Linked DNA regions of Schizosaccharomyces pombe. The protein of the gene in region 1 binds, or shares a complex with, the protein of each later gene. Each region holds a gene or a part of one and is shown on either strand. Other genes may lie near its edges. The genes, in order: tim14, tim16, tim44 and pam17.

Evidence for each region.
Region 2: tim14 (region 1) and tim16 share a complex: the UniProt entries of both Schizosaccharomyces pombe proteins name them as parts of the PAM complex.
Region 3: tim14 (region 1) and tim44 share a complex: the UniProt entries of both Schizosaccharomyces pombe proteins name them as parts of the PAM complex.
Region 4: tim14 (region 1) and pam17 share a complex: the UniProt entries of both Schizosaccharomyces pombe proteins name them as parts of the PAM complex.

Annotation. Positions count from the first base shown.
Region 1 is NC_003424.3:1,693,104-1,697,053, forward strand, and holds tim14 (TIM23 translocase complex subunit Tim14), read left to right. Parts: upstream 1-1,912; 5' UTR 1,913-1,998; coding exon 1,999-2,001; intron 2,002-2,028; exon of another isoform or gene 2,029-2,048; coding exon 2,049-2,096; exon of another isoform or gene 2,097-2,149; coding exon 2,150-2,521; 3' UTR 2,522-3,381; downstream 3,382-3,950. Other genes in the region: HOPS complex subunit Vps16, read left to right, coding at 1-1,618; hydroxyacylglutathione hydrolase Glo2, read left to right, coding at 3,468-3,586, 3,729-3,950. UniProt on the Schizosaccharomyces pombe protein: Essential component of the PAM complex, a complex required for the translocation of transit peptide-containing proteins from the inner membrane into the mitochondrial matrix in an ATP-dependent manner.
Region 2 is NC_003423.3:884,870-888,195, reverse strand, and holds tim16 (TIM23 translocase complex subunit Tim16), read right to left. Parts: upstream 1,704-3,326; 5' UTR 1,581-1,703; coding exon 1,532-1,580; exon of another isoform or gene 1,467-1,531; coding exon 1,129-1,466; 3' UTR 549-1,128; downstream 1-548. Other genes in the region: plasma membrane proteolipid Pmp3, read left to right, coding at 54-197; SPOM_SPBC713.09 (uncharacterized protein), read right to left, coding at 2,009-3,154, 3,196-3,237. UniProt on the Schizosaccharomyces pombe protein: Essential component of the PAM complex, a complex required for the translocation of transit peptide-containing proteins from the inner membrane into the mitochondrial matrix in an ATP-dependent manner.
Region 3 is NC_003423.3:2,203,746-2,207,895, reverse strand, and holds tim44 (TIM23 translocase complex subunit Tim44), read right to left. Parts: upstream 2,434-4,150; 5' UTR 2,343-2,433; coding exon 1,059-2,342; 3' UTR 523-1,058; downstream 1-522. Other genes in the region: methionine aminopeptidase Fma2, read right to left, coding at 1-164; securin cut2, read left to right, coding at 3,690-4,150. UniProt on the Schizosaccharomyces pombe protein: Essential component of the PAM complex, a complex required for the translocation of transit peptide-containing proteins from the inner membrane into the mitochondrial matrix in an ATP-dependent manner.
Region 4 is NC_003424.3:1,553,087-1,556,404, forward strand, and holds pam17 (putative TIM23 translocase complex-associated motor subunit Pam17), read right to left. Parts: upstream 1,735-3,318; 5' UTR 1,706-1,734; coding exon 1,295-1,705; intron 1,207-1,294; coding exon 1,128-1,206; intron 1,081-1,127; coding exon 1,049-1,080; intron 987-1,048; coding exon 915-986; 3' UTR 501-914; downstream 1-500. Other genes in the region: protein Dbs2, read right to left, coding at 1-127; U4/U5/U6 small nuclear ribonucleoprotein complex subunit Snu66, read left to right, coding at 2,048-3,318. UniProt on the Schizosaccharomyces pombe protein: Component of the PAM complex, a complex required for the translocation of transit peptide-containing proteins from the inner membrane into the mitochondrial matrix in an ATP-dependent manner.

The DNA.
Region 1 (3,950 bases):
TGGAGGCTCTGTACCATATCTTTATAATCATACTCCTATTGTTTCTACAGAGGTTGACGGAGTTCGAATTCTTACAAAAGATTCAAGTGAATTTCTTCGCAAAGTTCCTGCACCATTGGAAAACATTTTTCATATAGGTTCCAAAACTCCTGGAGCAAAATTAGTCGAGGCTTTCCAGAAAATGAAACTAAAGTCCGTTTTTGCAGAAAAGATGTTATTAGAGTTAAAAGATGAATTACATGATGCAGTTGATACTTGTGTTCAAGCAAGTCTCAATGAATTTTCTATAGAATGGCAAAAGGTGTTACTTGAAGCAGCTTCTCTTGGAAAAAATAGTTTGCGAATGTACAATCATCAAGAATATGTGGATGTTTGTCGTGAGTTAAGAGTTTTGAATGCTGCTAGAGACCCCAATGTTGGGATTTACATTACTCATGAAGAATACTTGCATCTAGGTTTAGAAAGGCTAATCCAACGATTTTCGTGTAGACAATTATATGGCCTCGCTGTTCAGGCATCTATGTGGATGCAGATTCCGTGTGATTGGGTCTACATACAATGGGCTCAGACGTACATAAAGCAATCTAGTGAACCAGAGGAGGTTGTATTGGATAATATTGTTAAACGACTTTCGTCCAGAAAATACATATCATATGAGAAAATTGCTCGCACAGCTTATCAAGAAGGTCGACTAATTCTTTCAACAAAGCTCTTGGATTTCGAGCCTTTAGCTAAGCATCAAGTAATGCTATTGTTAAACATGGAAGCATATGAGCAAGCTTTAAAAAAGGTAATAGAAACTATGGACAATAACCTGATTATTTACGTTGTGCTTCAAATCAAACAACAAATGGCAATAGCGTCTTTCTTTCAAATTTTAAATGAGTATCCTGATGCAGTTAAGGTTTACGTTGAATTTGCCAAAAAGAATGATAGAAAAACTTTACACGACTTCTTTTACCAGGACGATAACAAACAAGGAATCGCTGTTTTAGCGGTAGAAGATACTTTAAAAACTGCGACAGTCAATCAGCGCATTACCTCTTTAAAATCAGCAGCTAAAGTTTGTTCAGAATCCAAGGAACTATCACTTGAAGAAAAATGTTTGGGAGATGAAATAAAATTATTACAATTACAACAAACTTACGAGGATCAATTCACTGGTAATTTTGTTGGGCTAACAGTAAATGAGGTTGTTGTTAAATTGATTCAAATTAATCAAACACAAAGAGCAAACAAATTGAGGTCTGACTTTCAGATTCCTGAGAAGAGATTTGCTTGGCTGAAATTAAGAGCTTTGGTAGCCATCCGTGATTGGGTTCAGATTGAACAATGGGCAGGCTCTATGCGAAGATCGCCAATTGGTTTTGAGCCTTTTGTTACAGAAATCCTTAGTGCCGGAAATAAAAAAGAGGCTGCTAAATACATACCACGATGTACTCAGCTTACTACACAAGAAAAAGTGGATATGTGGGTTCAAGTTGGGGACGTGAAAAGTGCTAGCGAAGAAGCAGCCAAATCAAAAAGCGGGAGTGTTCTTGGTGATCTTTTAGAAAGGGTGCAGACCATGCCCGAAAGTCGGTTTGTTCAGAATGCACTTGATCAATTACGCCGATGACTATTAGAGATATCAATACCAATCTTTTTTTTTTAGGATAAAAAAAAAGATATAAATATTAATGACAAGAATCCATGAATGAAAAGCAACCCAATTGAATTTAGAATAATTTGGATATTTACCGTAAAATAGTTAGTTTTTTTTGTGAGCTAGTTTATATTAATTTTAACAAATTATTTTACAAGAAATATAAAACCCTGAATTTTATGTAATGCAGATTTTTATTAGTAGGATTAAAAGTTGTTATTTATTGGCAACTTAAGCATATACAAGGAGAACCAGCTTTCTTCCTCCACTATCCTCAAGGTATTGGGAATTGAGGAGAATATATATATTTTTGGTTACTTCTTTCACATTAAATAAGTTTTGAGATATAACAAATGGTATGAGATTTTTTTTTTGCCTCACTAACTAACTTATTTTTGATTAGTCGTCTGCTATTCTCCTTGGAGTCGGTATCGCTGCAACGGCTGCGGCAGTATGTGAAAACAGAAAATAAAAGCTTGACATTTGAAATGCTAATGACTTTAGGGGAAAATTGGTGTTGACGCATTCAGAAAATACCGGAATTTGAATGGCGGAGTAAAGGCCTTTCTCAAGGGTGGTTTTGAGTCAAAAATGTCTAGGGCAGAAGCCATTCAAATTCTGTCATTGAACAACCGTACTTTAACTCGACAAAAAATAAAAGAGGCTCACAGAAGGTTGATGCTTGCAAATCATCCAGATCGGGGTGGTAGCCCTTATGTAGCCAGCAAGGTAAACGAGGCCAAGTCACTTTTGGATGCAGATCGATCAATCCGAAAATTTAGTTCATGGGCACTCCCTGTTTCTAAGCAGCGATCAATGCCTAGTGTTCTTGAAGCGGTGAAATGGCTTGAATACAGCTCCATACCGAAAGCTTAAAAGTGATGAATAATGGTCTGCATCGTTGTTAATATTATTATGTGCTGTATCTGCTGGAGAACTAATGTTTTCTTGCTAAAATTTAGCTGAAAGCTATGATGCCCTTAATAGAACTAATCATTGTGTGAATTATTGTTTGCTTTTCCAAAAAACTTTTACTATTCAGTTGCAGACACCTTTTGTCAATTTATTTTATTTTTTGCTTCTAAAGATGTGTGTTTGCTCCGTATAGTACATCGCCTTCGATTCTTTTCGTACTCTTATATCAATCCTTTTTCGGAAAATGCGAAGGAAACCCCGAAATTGTATTTTTTTTTCTTTCTCTACGCTGGAGCTATTTAGTAATTTGATTTCGAGCGTCAATGATTTTGTCTCCTTTTTGATGGTTGTACCGAGTGTTAATAGTTTAACTCTTTTTTAGATTAAATTTGAGTCTCTCATATGTTTCCGGACACTTACTTTCCAAAACGTTTTCAATGGAAAATTGTCAGGTTCTTTTCCATGCATTCCGAGTATCAATTCACAACAAGGATAAGTTAAAAGAAGAATTCGAGCATTTGATTTCCTTAGTCGTAAACAATATCATTCCTTACAAAATGTATACTCTTTGAAATGATTTTAGTTTTTGACTTTTGCGCTTTGAATGACATTGTTAAAACCTACTTCAGTAACAGTTTATATGAAGTATGTTTATTTAAAAATTTATTTCATAATCATAATTAAAAAAAATGAATTGATTAATAAACATCGAAATTTCGCTTCTAACAATGATTATTAACACAGAAGCTGCCTTTACATATCACTCTGACGTTACCGTATATAAGTGCGTACTGTCAAATTTTTTTTGACTTAAACAAATACGTTCTCTAAGATTTTGTTTCTTAGTAGAGTAGGAAGTTTAGTATATTCATTTTTTTTTAAAGTGCATAAGATAATAAGAAACGCGATGTCTTTTCATATTACGCCCATATGGATGTGGAAAGGAACGGGCAACAACTATGCCTATTTGCTGACTTGTGATAAAACCAAAATCACTGCCATCGTCGACCCTGCTGAGCCTGAGAGGTAAGTGAAGAGAATGAAATAACGACTTAAATACTGTTATCTGTGATTTCGGAAACATGATTTTCTCCTCCTGTTTTCCGAATTGTTTTGTTTGTGCGCTCCGTAACATTTAATTAACCAAACTAACATTGACAAACTCTAGTGTTATTCCTGTCATAAAAGAGAAAACGGCGAAGAAAGAAATTGATTTGCAGTACATTCTGACCACTCATCATCACTATGATCATGCAGGCGGCAACGAAGACATTTTGAGCTACTTTCCTTCTTTAAAGGTCTATGGCGGAAAAAATGCATCTGGTGTCACATACACTCCCAAAGATAAGGAGATTTTCAAGGTTGGAGAAGTTCAAGTTGAGGCTCTTCA
Region 2 (3,326 bases), on another chromosome or scaffold:
TTATAAAAAAAAAATTTCGCTTCTTTTTGACTCAATGCTAATATATGACACAGGTAATTTTCGCCATTATTCTCCCTCCCTTGGGCGTTTTCTTGGAACGTGGCTGTGGTGCTGACGTTATTATCAACATTCTTCTTTGTTGTCTTGGTTACGTTCCCGGTATTATTCACGCTCTCTATATCATCTTAAAATACTAAGCATCCCTCTATTTCAATCCTCTAATATTTGTTCTTTTCGCTACTTATCATGTTTATAAAGGAAAGTGAAATAGACATGTGTATTCTTTGCTTCTTCTCTTGTCTGTTCTAGGAATTTATTATTCGCTTCATTTAATACCAAATGTTGTGAGGATATCATGGCTTTTGTATTAGTAAACAAAAAAACGGATTTTCTTTACTAAGAAAAAAGTTCAAAATAGTATCACGGTTGTTTGCACTCATTTTTTTTTCCTTTCCCAAAATCGACTGTGCTTAACCATGATATCTTTTTTTATCCATAATTGGGCGAATGATTTTACCGTATACTTTTTGCTATAGCCCAATAGTCTTCTTGTTTTACATAAAAGAATGTTTTATCATTTGCTCAACTGGAACTTATATTCTTTAAATATATTAGTTTAACGGTTCTTTTTTTTGTGTCTTATTCATTATTTGTAACCAAAATGTATTTCAATAGTAGTGTGTAATGATTGATATCTGGGAATAGATTAGATTATTGATCTCTTCATGGTGCCCGCAGCCCAGTCTAACTTTAAGGATTGGCCAGCGACAGTTAAAAGTCGAAAAGTAAGTTTTGGCTTAACCTCAGGCTCTCGTTTGAAGTCAATCCATATCAATGTACATCTCTCATCACATTGACAATATATGGCTCTGGTTTAACGGCATTGAGGGTATGTGGATAGCTAGACTAGTGTTAATTTTCCTTTTATCATAGTACAGGGCATATTCAAAAAAATATGAGGATATCAACCTCCTCACATTTCTTCAACTATTCGTAAACAAAAATATATCCCATTGCTTCTTTTTTTCTTAAAAAAAAAAAAAAGATAGATTCCATTTTACATTAAATTAAGGTAGACGTGTCGGTAAATACGTAGCAATAGCTAGCAACCCAAAATCAAAGAAAGTTTTAAGGTGAACTGGTTGGTTTCGCTGGGGATTGTTCTTGTATTTTTTGATCCAGTTCACTTTTCAATTTTTCATGAGCTCGGAACACTTTGCTCTGGAGGTAAAAAGATCCTCCTTTTTTAGGATCATTAATCTCAAACATTTTTTGAAATCGTTTTTCTAACTCTCCTTCTTCTAATGATTCTGGCTTAATGTTTAAAATGCTACCAGCTTCTTGAATAGTCATTTCACCTCGACGAACAGCAGTTGATGATTTGGAAGCAGCAGCTTGACCAGTACTTTGTTGAGCTGCATTAGCAATCATTTGCTTATAAGCTTGTACAAAAGCTTTGCTCATTACTAATATTGTTAGGGTTTTTAATCTTTTGAATAAATCCTTGATAGGAGAATGGCCACAAACATACCTTGCGAACCAACAATTATAAATCGACCGACAGCCCTTGGAAGCGACATTTTTTAATGTAATATAGTAATTTTGAACAAATAATTATGATAAATGTCTTCCTTTATTTTATTTTCAGACATACACATGCCCTAAACAGGAATTTTCACAAATTTTCTTGTAAAAAGGGTGGTGGTAAAAATTCCTTATAAGGCAGATTTCATATCAAAGAATCTAATACTACTTCCAAATTACAACCTTGATTTAATAATAAGAAGCATAAAGTTCACTATTTTAGACAAAAAAATATTAATATATTATGAATTTGCTTTATATTCTTTACTTTGTTTTACTACTCGTCACAATTCAAAGATCATGTAAACTGATTGTAAATTCAAATCATCTTATTCATTAGGGCTTCTTATACTCGCTGAAACAGTATGGTAATGGAGCTTAAACATAGTGACTTAATAATAAATATCATATTAAAGCTTTAACTTCATACTGAAAAAGGAATGCCGTGAGCACCGGGAAATCCAGTCAATGTCAAGTCAATTGAAACGTTATCGATTACCTCAAAGTTAGTAGGATCTGGAAAAAGTTTCTCGGTCACGGAGCCAGGCTGTTCAAAATGCATCGCTTCAAGTTCCTTCAGCCTTCTTTGACATTCCGCAAACTCAACCATCGCTAGTTTATAACGTTCAACAGCTTCTTCCAAAAGTTGCTTTTCTAAAGCAATGTCCGAAACCTTTTTTTCCAATGAGTTGATCAACTCCTTTTGTTCATGAGTTTGGTTAGCAGTTTTAGAGCCTTCAGAGCTTTGTTCTTTATTTTGCTTTATCGCGGATTTTTCACGCTCCTCAAACTCCTTGAAACGATTATTGAAATTCTCGTTAGCTTCACTGAGTTTCGTGGCACGTTCATTTAAACTTTTCTCATGTTCTTCAACCTTTAATAGACGATTTTCAAGGTCCTTTTCACGTTTTTTAAGATCATCTTCTTTTCCATTCATCTTCAGTTCTCTTTTATTAATCTCATTCTCTCTGATTAACAGTTTTGACTGGAATTCCTCAAGAGCGGCTTCTCTTTTGGATACGAGTGTCTGCTTTCCTTCACTGTCATCCGCATTAGCTTTTAATGTTTCATAATCATAAGTTAAGTCGTTAATGCGTTCTTTTAATTCTTTGATTTTCTTATCCTTTTGTTCATTAAGATCATGCAGGGTTTTTACTTGTTTTTCTAGTTCATCTTTTTCTTGACTGCTTGTACTTCGAGAAGTGACCTCTGTTTCAACGTTCTTTTTTATTTCACCATCAGGCTTGGCTGCTTTATCCTCACTTTCTATTACCGCTAAATCCTCCTTCTCAGGCTTCTCCGCAACCGACTCATCTACAGAATTTTTAACGACATTTTCAGATGTTTCCGGAGACTGAGTAGAAGCATCGCCGGTGGATGCCTCAGCACCTTCAGCTGAAACTACATTCGAAGCAGAAATATCCTCAGTGTTTTCAACTACTTGAGTATTGTCATTGCCTGTAGGCTCATTTACTTGATTATTGCCATCATTAGATTCGCGGTCAACATTATCTTCGGCAACTGAATTTTTAGATTTAGCTTGGCGTTTTTTCTTCTTGACCTCCAGCAACTAGCACTCGTAAGTTAAATGTTACAAAATATTATGCATACCCTTTGTTTAGCTGCAGCTAGCTTTTCTTCACGATCTGACATCTTCAAATTTGATACAAGATGAAAATAAATCAACAGGGAGTTGTAGTGTGGGCAGAATCAGTAAAGTATAGGTAAGTAGGGAAAGTTTG
Region 3 (4,150 bases), on another chromosome or scaffold:
GACTTTTTTTTCTTTTTTTTCTTCTTTTCTCCATTGCTGGCTCCTTCTTCAGCGGCATCATTTTCCTCTACTTTTCCATCATCTTCAACCACGTCGTTCTCTTTCAGCGAAAGCTTCTCCTGTAAATCTTTAGCGGTAGCTTCAGTAGTTGTCGCAGAAGTCATTGTTTAAGATTGTTAAATCCTGTCTAAACAAATCTGATATAGGAGGAAGTTGAGTATATGTACCTCCACAGGTTACAACAGTGCTACCACCAAAAACCAGTAGTCATGGCAACCTATGCCTCAATTTTAGGAGATTATAATATACAAACAAAAGGATTGAGATTTACTTAATTAAAGGTTTAAAAAGGGATAATGAGTCGGATATCAAGCAACAAGTATCCATTTTAATTTTAAAACCAACCGTTTATTAATTTATGAAAGGTCAAATTCTCTACATCTATTTGTTAATATAAATGTTCCAAATTTTTCCCAATTTAAAATATTTCTTGCACTATTTAATCCAAAACTATTGGAAATATTATAAAACATGTTAAAGTGATTATGATATTGAGCTAAAAAATGCACGCGTCCTAAAATACGATTGTTGAAAAAGTATTAAACACGCGTATCCTTTAAGAAAAAGATAGCAAAACCTCAATTCTTAAACCCATCCCGCAAAACCCGAGTTAAATAAAAGATTTTAAATTAATAAAATCTTCTACTACATTAAAGACTTTTCAAAGTAGACAAACGAAAAATGTGATAAAAAAAAGAATGACAAGCTTAGACTTGTCATCAAAAAGAAACAAAAAAAAAAAGAAGATCGATCATTAGGGAATATCAGCGGTCTTCTTAAGTAGATGATGGTGGACATAGTCCAGGAAATCCAAGAGTTATTTCCAAACTTGACAAAACTTTTGAAATATTAAATAGTAATTAATCATATGAGTGACAGAGAAATATAACCCAAACGAAATATGCTATGCAGGAAGAAAAAATCTGATTCCAAAAAAAATGTTTACATGTTAAAATTAGAAGCCGATAGAAAGACAAATGTTTGGAATATTTTCGCATTTAGAAATAATCAACGGCTCGTGCACGTGCGAAATCAACGATACGCCAACCTCTTGTCTCCGGATTATCAAGCTCGTCTTCTACACGTGTAAAGACAGAAGCATAAGTACATTGTTGAATACGATCATCCTTTCCTGCAACTAATTCGCCACTGCTAGCATCTTTAAACATATGGACCTCTTGAGTACGAAAAGTGACGATAAAAACGGGAATATCATTTGGCTGTAAAAGTCTTTGAGACATGATGTCGACGCCACGAATGTCAAGGATTTTACCAACACTAACAACTCCATGTTTCGCATATTCCTTGGTAGTAGTTTCATATACGGAAAAGGGGGCTTCCGAAAGCCAAGTCTTCAACACTTCTTTGTCTCCTTTAACATATGCCTCGGTAACTTCCGGGACAATATATTCTCTTAAATATTGAAGGAAATGCTCGGTATTAAAGGATGGGTCAATCTCTTTAAAGCGTCGCATAACCTGCGATGCTTCAGTTTCTGAAAACATTCGAGACCAAACGCCACTAATACTGTCGGCCATGTCACGAATGGAGGAGACAATAGGATGTTCAGACTCCTGATAACTTTTTTTAAGCTCTTGAATTTTACGAACTAAACGCGATTCGTTTTTTATTTGCTCAACCTTATTCTTCCACGACGGGTTGCTATGTACGACGACGCTTTGGACGTCTTCGTTAGGCTGAATCCTTGCCGAGCTAGCAAACATTCTGTTTCGACGTTCAAATTCTTCACGCAATTTTTTACGTTGTTCCTTGTCAGCATAAAATCCATAACGTGAAGAGGTGCTACCATCAGACATTGTTTGCTTAATTGTTTTATAAAATGCAGTTTCACGTACGGGTTTTGTGGCAGTGTCAACACCAGTAGCTACAGTATTAGCGGTGCTTGAAATGACCTTTTTTGATAATTGTACAGGAGCACTTTCCCAAGCTTTTTGGGCATATGAGCCAATCTTGGCACCAGCTTTGCCAACAGTTTTTCCTGTGAAAGATGAAGCTGCAGTAGTTCCCGAGCGCGCTTTTTCGTAAGCATCTCTCGCTTTTTTGAAAGTGTCGCTTTCACTTAATGATCCTGAACTATCTTGCAATGCTTTGACACTGTCCTGTAATTCCTGGCTCTTCTTTAATTCTGCTCTAAATGTATCCATGAACACCTTGATTGGCGATTGAGGTGCTGCATTTTGAGAGAATATAGACGTTTGGAAAAACCGCTGGCATTGAACTATTGTGCGGGCATTTTTTGTGATTTTTCTTGATAGAAACATTTTCTTTCCTATTGAATAAATAAATCTCAACGCTATTACGCGAAAATTAATCCACTTTGCTGCCTTTTATTGCAAACCGATATAGCAGCCTAGTGAGTGGTGGATGGAAGGTTCAAGTGCCACAAAGGTGGAAAGATACCTTAATCCTAAATATCGAGAAGTAGTCTTTTGTTAACAAAAGTTAGCATATTCTCTTATATTTGGACTTTTTTACTTTACTAAGAGGAGTTTACGATTAGAATTTTTACGAATTCGCTCATTTTATCTGAAATGCAACTATTAAAATATTGATATAGAGGGAAGCATAAATTACGCATGATCCTAATATATTAAAGAATAAGAGTACCGATCAATTTCCTTTCGTATTGGTTGAAACAGTCGTAGCTGTTGCTTACAATATTGTTGGGAATCGATACCATGTGGGTGGTAAGAGATCGTATGAAGTTATGAAAAAAAGTATTCAATAAGCAGCATAGATATATTACAATGCGTTATATAGAACTGGATAATTTGAGTATGTAGCGGGTTTTGGAGATAAAAGCAATAGTATTAATTAGCATTTTGAAGTTTCGTTTATTCATTTGTAGAGATTTTTCAAATCTAGAAAAATTTAAAGATCTCTTAATTTTGTATCTTTTTTTTTTTTTTTATCAGTTTGATAGAATGTTTGTATGTAATTCTTTCTAATAACATGCGACGTTTGTTGTGCCCCTAAGTTTCTTTGATGAAATTTATTTGAAAATAAGGAAGTAGCTGGTTTATACAGAATTCAAAAGGCGCATTTAAGTTGTAGTAAACCTCGAATTTTTCTGATGATTAATGTGTTTCATGATTTTTTATGAAAACAGTTGTTGAAGCTCCTATATTATTTATCACAGGTTGTAAATTTTCAGCTTCAATAACGAAATGGGATACTTAAAGTCATAACTGATCAATTTTGGCAGACAGATCTAGCTTTAAAAGCTTAGATTCATTCAACATCAAGTTTATACGAAATGATCAGTTGTAATACACTTCCAACTTTTCTGATAATGATTCAGAATGATTACAACATAGTATAGTTGGAATGTAAAATTATTTGTTTCATGAAGAACTGGTTTTCCATCTTGAACACTAGACGATAAAAGCAACCTGAATATCATAAATCATCTTCAATCCAATTAAGCAATTCAAAAACAAAACAAAACAATTTATTATGCATTTGTAAAAGTAAAAATTTAAAAGGTGATCATATTTCTTCAAATTATCGCTTTGTTTACTATTTTAAATTGTGCAGGTCACAATTGAATGTCACCTGTGAAATAATAAACCAGCCTTGGACTATAGACAACGATGTTGCCAAGAACCATGTTTTCATATGGAAAAGAAAACGCTTTTCCTGTAACTCCCATATCAAACAGAAATGGTACAAAAGGAGCGGGCTCCAAAAGAGCACCATTGGGGTCTACAAAGCAGTCGAATGCACCTTCTTCTGTAACGGTTCCTAGAACGGTACTGGGAGGTAAGAGTACTAACATTTCCAAATTTATTTCTGCTCCCAGTACAAAGAAAATGTCTCCTATGGATATTTCGATGGATTCCCCTACTATTTTGGAGCCAAACTCACAAGGAATTTCCCGATCAGCCGTACAAGAGCGGTCGAAGCGACTTTCGGCTAGCCCTCGTCGTTCCTCTTTAACAGACACTCCTTTACCAAATGAACTTGAAGAAGATATCGAATATATGCCTCCTCCTGTTCATTTGGACCCCATTCAATCCCTGGGGTTTGACGACGTTGCAATTGATTGTGAAACGCTCGATCCTTGGCC
Region 4 (3,318 bases), 140 kb from region 1:
CTAGCTGACGGTGCTTTTTTTCTTCTCTTTCTTTCATCCATCGTAAAACTTCGAGACGTTCTTCATCAAGTGCCGATTCCAATGATCCTGCAGATTTTCCACCACCAGAGTAAAGAGCCGAAGTCATCCTTTAACAAATAATAAATAATTCAAGTTAGTTCGCTTTAACTAACTCAAATGTATGAATTGCCCTCACTAGTTTGTTTACTTCCGTTAGGTGGTAGATACAAGGTTGCCTCGTTTTCAACCTACGAATCCTACAAATAGCGCGCAGCGAAACAACATTTGATCTCCTTCGCTAATTTATTACATCAAAACTATATTAATGTTTACACATAAAGGTTCTTGAATTTTGGAGGAGTAATCAAGTTAAAACTGATACTGTAAACTATTAATTATGTTTTCAAAGGTTTAGCTATATTCTTTTTATTTGATCAGTTTCAGTCTTGTAATTTATAAATTGAACCAATGCATTTTTTAATTGTTATTAAAATTGTGTACTGGCATGTCATGCATTACAAACAAAAATGTTATATATTTATAATCTTCTAATATCTGCTTCTAATGGTTTTACCATGTCAGTTGTACAACAATCATAGAACAGACGGCAAAAGCTTGTTGCAAAAGATAAAATTCAATAGCAGGAGTGACATGTACAACAAATTATGTAAGAAATTGTATGCACGGTAAATTATAATTAAGATAATCATTACTAGAATTTCTCTACACATGGACAAAAACACTTGCTTGAGAAAAGTCTGTACTATAAGTTGAGACTATACAGATTTCAATAGATGAACTTCTTTTCACAAATACTGATACGGCAATGCTTCTGTATCCTTTTAGTTATCGTGTTAAGAAAAGAACCTCATCCACAATTCTATATGACAAGCTATCACTTCAACACTTCTAATTTAACGATTGCTTGTACGCCAAAATGCCCGTTGTATGTAAGCCTTCTGATCCCTCAACCAACGTCGATAGTCCTTTGCATAAAAGTTAGTAATCAGTGTACAAAGTAAATGAGTAGATAACACATATCACATACAGAAAGGGAGTAAATTTTCTCACCGTAATAATCTAATTAAGAGTTAGACATCAATCATGACGCAGCCTTCACAGCATACCTGGGATAGGATTAGAATAGCTTTCCATTTGAGGTGTAACCCTGTTTTTAACCAAGTGACGGTAAAATTCTTGTTCTCTCTAAAAAATTAAATATATTAGAATACTTTCAGAAAACATAGTCCGTAGATGCTAACATAACCCCTATTATCTAAGGGAATGAACGTACCGCTGCAATTTGTCTCGCTTGACTTTTATGAAGCAGTGTCCATATTTTTCTACCTATACTAGGGCCCAAAAGCCATCCAAGCCCTCCGGATGCAATAGTTCCAATAACATATAGAGTAAATAGATCAAGACCCATAATAGTCATGGTAGGGTCAACAGTACGCGTAAGAAAATAGGCGGATCCTAATCCTAGTCCGGTAAGTGCAGTAGGAATAGAAGTTAAGGTTTCAAAAATCCTTCTGCTTTTTCTTAATTTCAGGAATGTGGGCCAATTTAAATCTTGAGGTTTCTTCTGTTTTATAGACTCAGTGGAATAAGTTTTTACATTATAACAAGTTTTCCATAAAGTTAAAAATATTTTGGGACTTTGTAATCTTTTTACAACTAGACCAGGCCGTATAATAGGTATCATAACGAATCCTTGCTTGTTGGAAAATGTATACTTCATATACGTATCGCCTCAATTGCTCTTCTCTTTTTAACGTATTTTGTTTATTATTCCTTAGCAAGCGCGGACGCATACTAGGAAACGCAACTTTTTTTGAAAGTACGCTAAAATAGCTTAGTGAGATATAAATGAGAGTTTAAGTAAATTATTTGAAACAATATTACGGTTCGTGTATTTCGCCATTCTCCTATTTTATTCATATCCTTGAGTCAGTTGCAAGTTTAGTGTATTTTTTTATTAAAAATCCATATTATTATTTATTTATCAGCATTTGAAAGTCTGTCACTTGCTGTTGGATTTAGTATAATGTCTGGGAATTCAGGCGCCTCTGAATCGATTTCTATTGAGGAGACCAATAGAATTAGAATTTCGCTAGGCCTCAAACCCTTAGATATTTCAGAAGAAAAACCTCAGAAAGAACTTTCAGATGCTTCAGTCAAGTCTTCGTATGTCGATCAAGAACAACAGGCCTATGAAAATTGGAAGAAACAAGAGCAGGAGGAAATAAATAGGAAGAAAGAAGAAGAACTGAAAAGCAAATTTGAAAAATTACGGCAAAAGAATGAACGAAGACGCAGAACGCAAGGAAAAACACTCGCTGAAACATTGGCAGAAGAGGATGATCAAATCGATGCTAACGATACTCGAGCGTGGATACTCAAAATGCGTAATTCCTCATTGAATAAAAATGGCAATGGATTGAATTTTGAAGCGAAGAATGACGCCCCCAGAAGATCCACTCTACATTCGCAAAATGCTGGTCCCAATGTGAATAGCTCATTAGAAGGAATGAAAATAGCACACGGTTTTCAAGATTTAAACAAGAACGATGGTCTAGTCCTTACATTGAAAGATGCTGATATATTAGACGAAGATAATCATGATCTATTAGAAAATGTTGAAATGGTCCAGCGGAAGACTAAAAACGAAAGGAAGGAAGATAACCCCTACAAACCGTATGAAGATGAGAATGATTTTCTTCAACAGTCGGAAGCAGATCAACCGTCTGAAGATACTTTTACGACCATTGGTCCACAAAATAGTCTCACTGTTAATTCTACTATAGAAAAACATAAATCTGATAATAAAAAAACTTTTGGGACTCTTGTCTCTTTCGTTGAACCAACTATCACTGGCAGCGAACAATCAGATTATCGACAAATAAAGATTAAGAAGTCAAAAAAGAAAAAGTCAAAGTCTGATCGGAGAAAGCGTCTAGTAGAACTTGATGCAGAAAATGAAAATGAAAATGACCCATCTGATTTCGTGCTACCGAATGGTCAGAGTAACAGTGATCTGTCAGTTGAGCAAGATTCGGCTATTTTCAAAGAACAAAAGAAAATGAAGATTCAAAAGCGTATGCGCGAATTAGAAACACAGTCGTTTGCTGATGATGATGATTTGCAACAGTCAATTGCAATGCAGAGGAGGCTAGCTCAAAAAAGAGCGAAAATACTTAAGCCAGAAGATGTAGCTGAGCAATTGCAGAATGCCGAAGAAGTCACAGATATGACGGACTCGGACACGGCTTCCGGTTTAATATTTGATGATACGCGTGCTTTTGTTAATAGCATAAA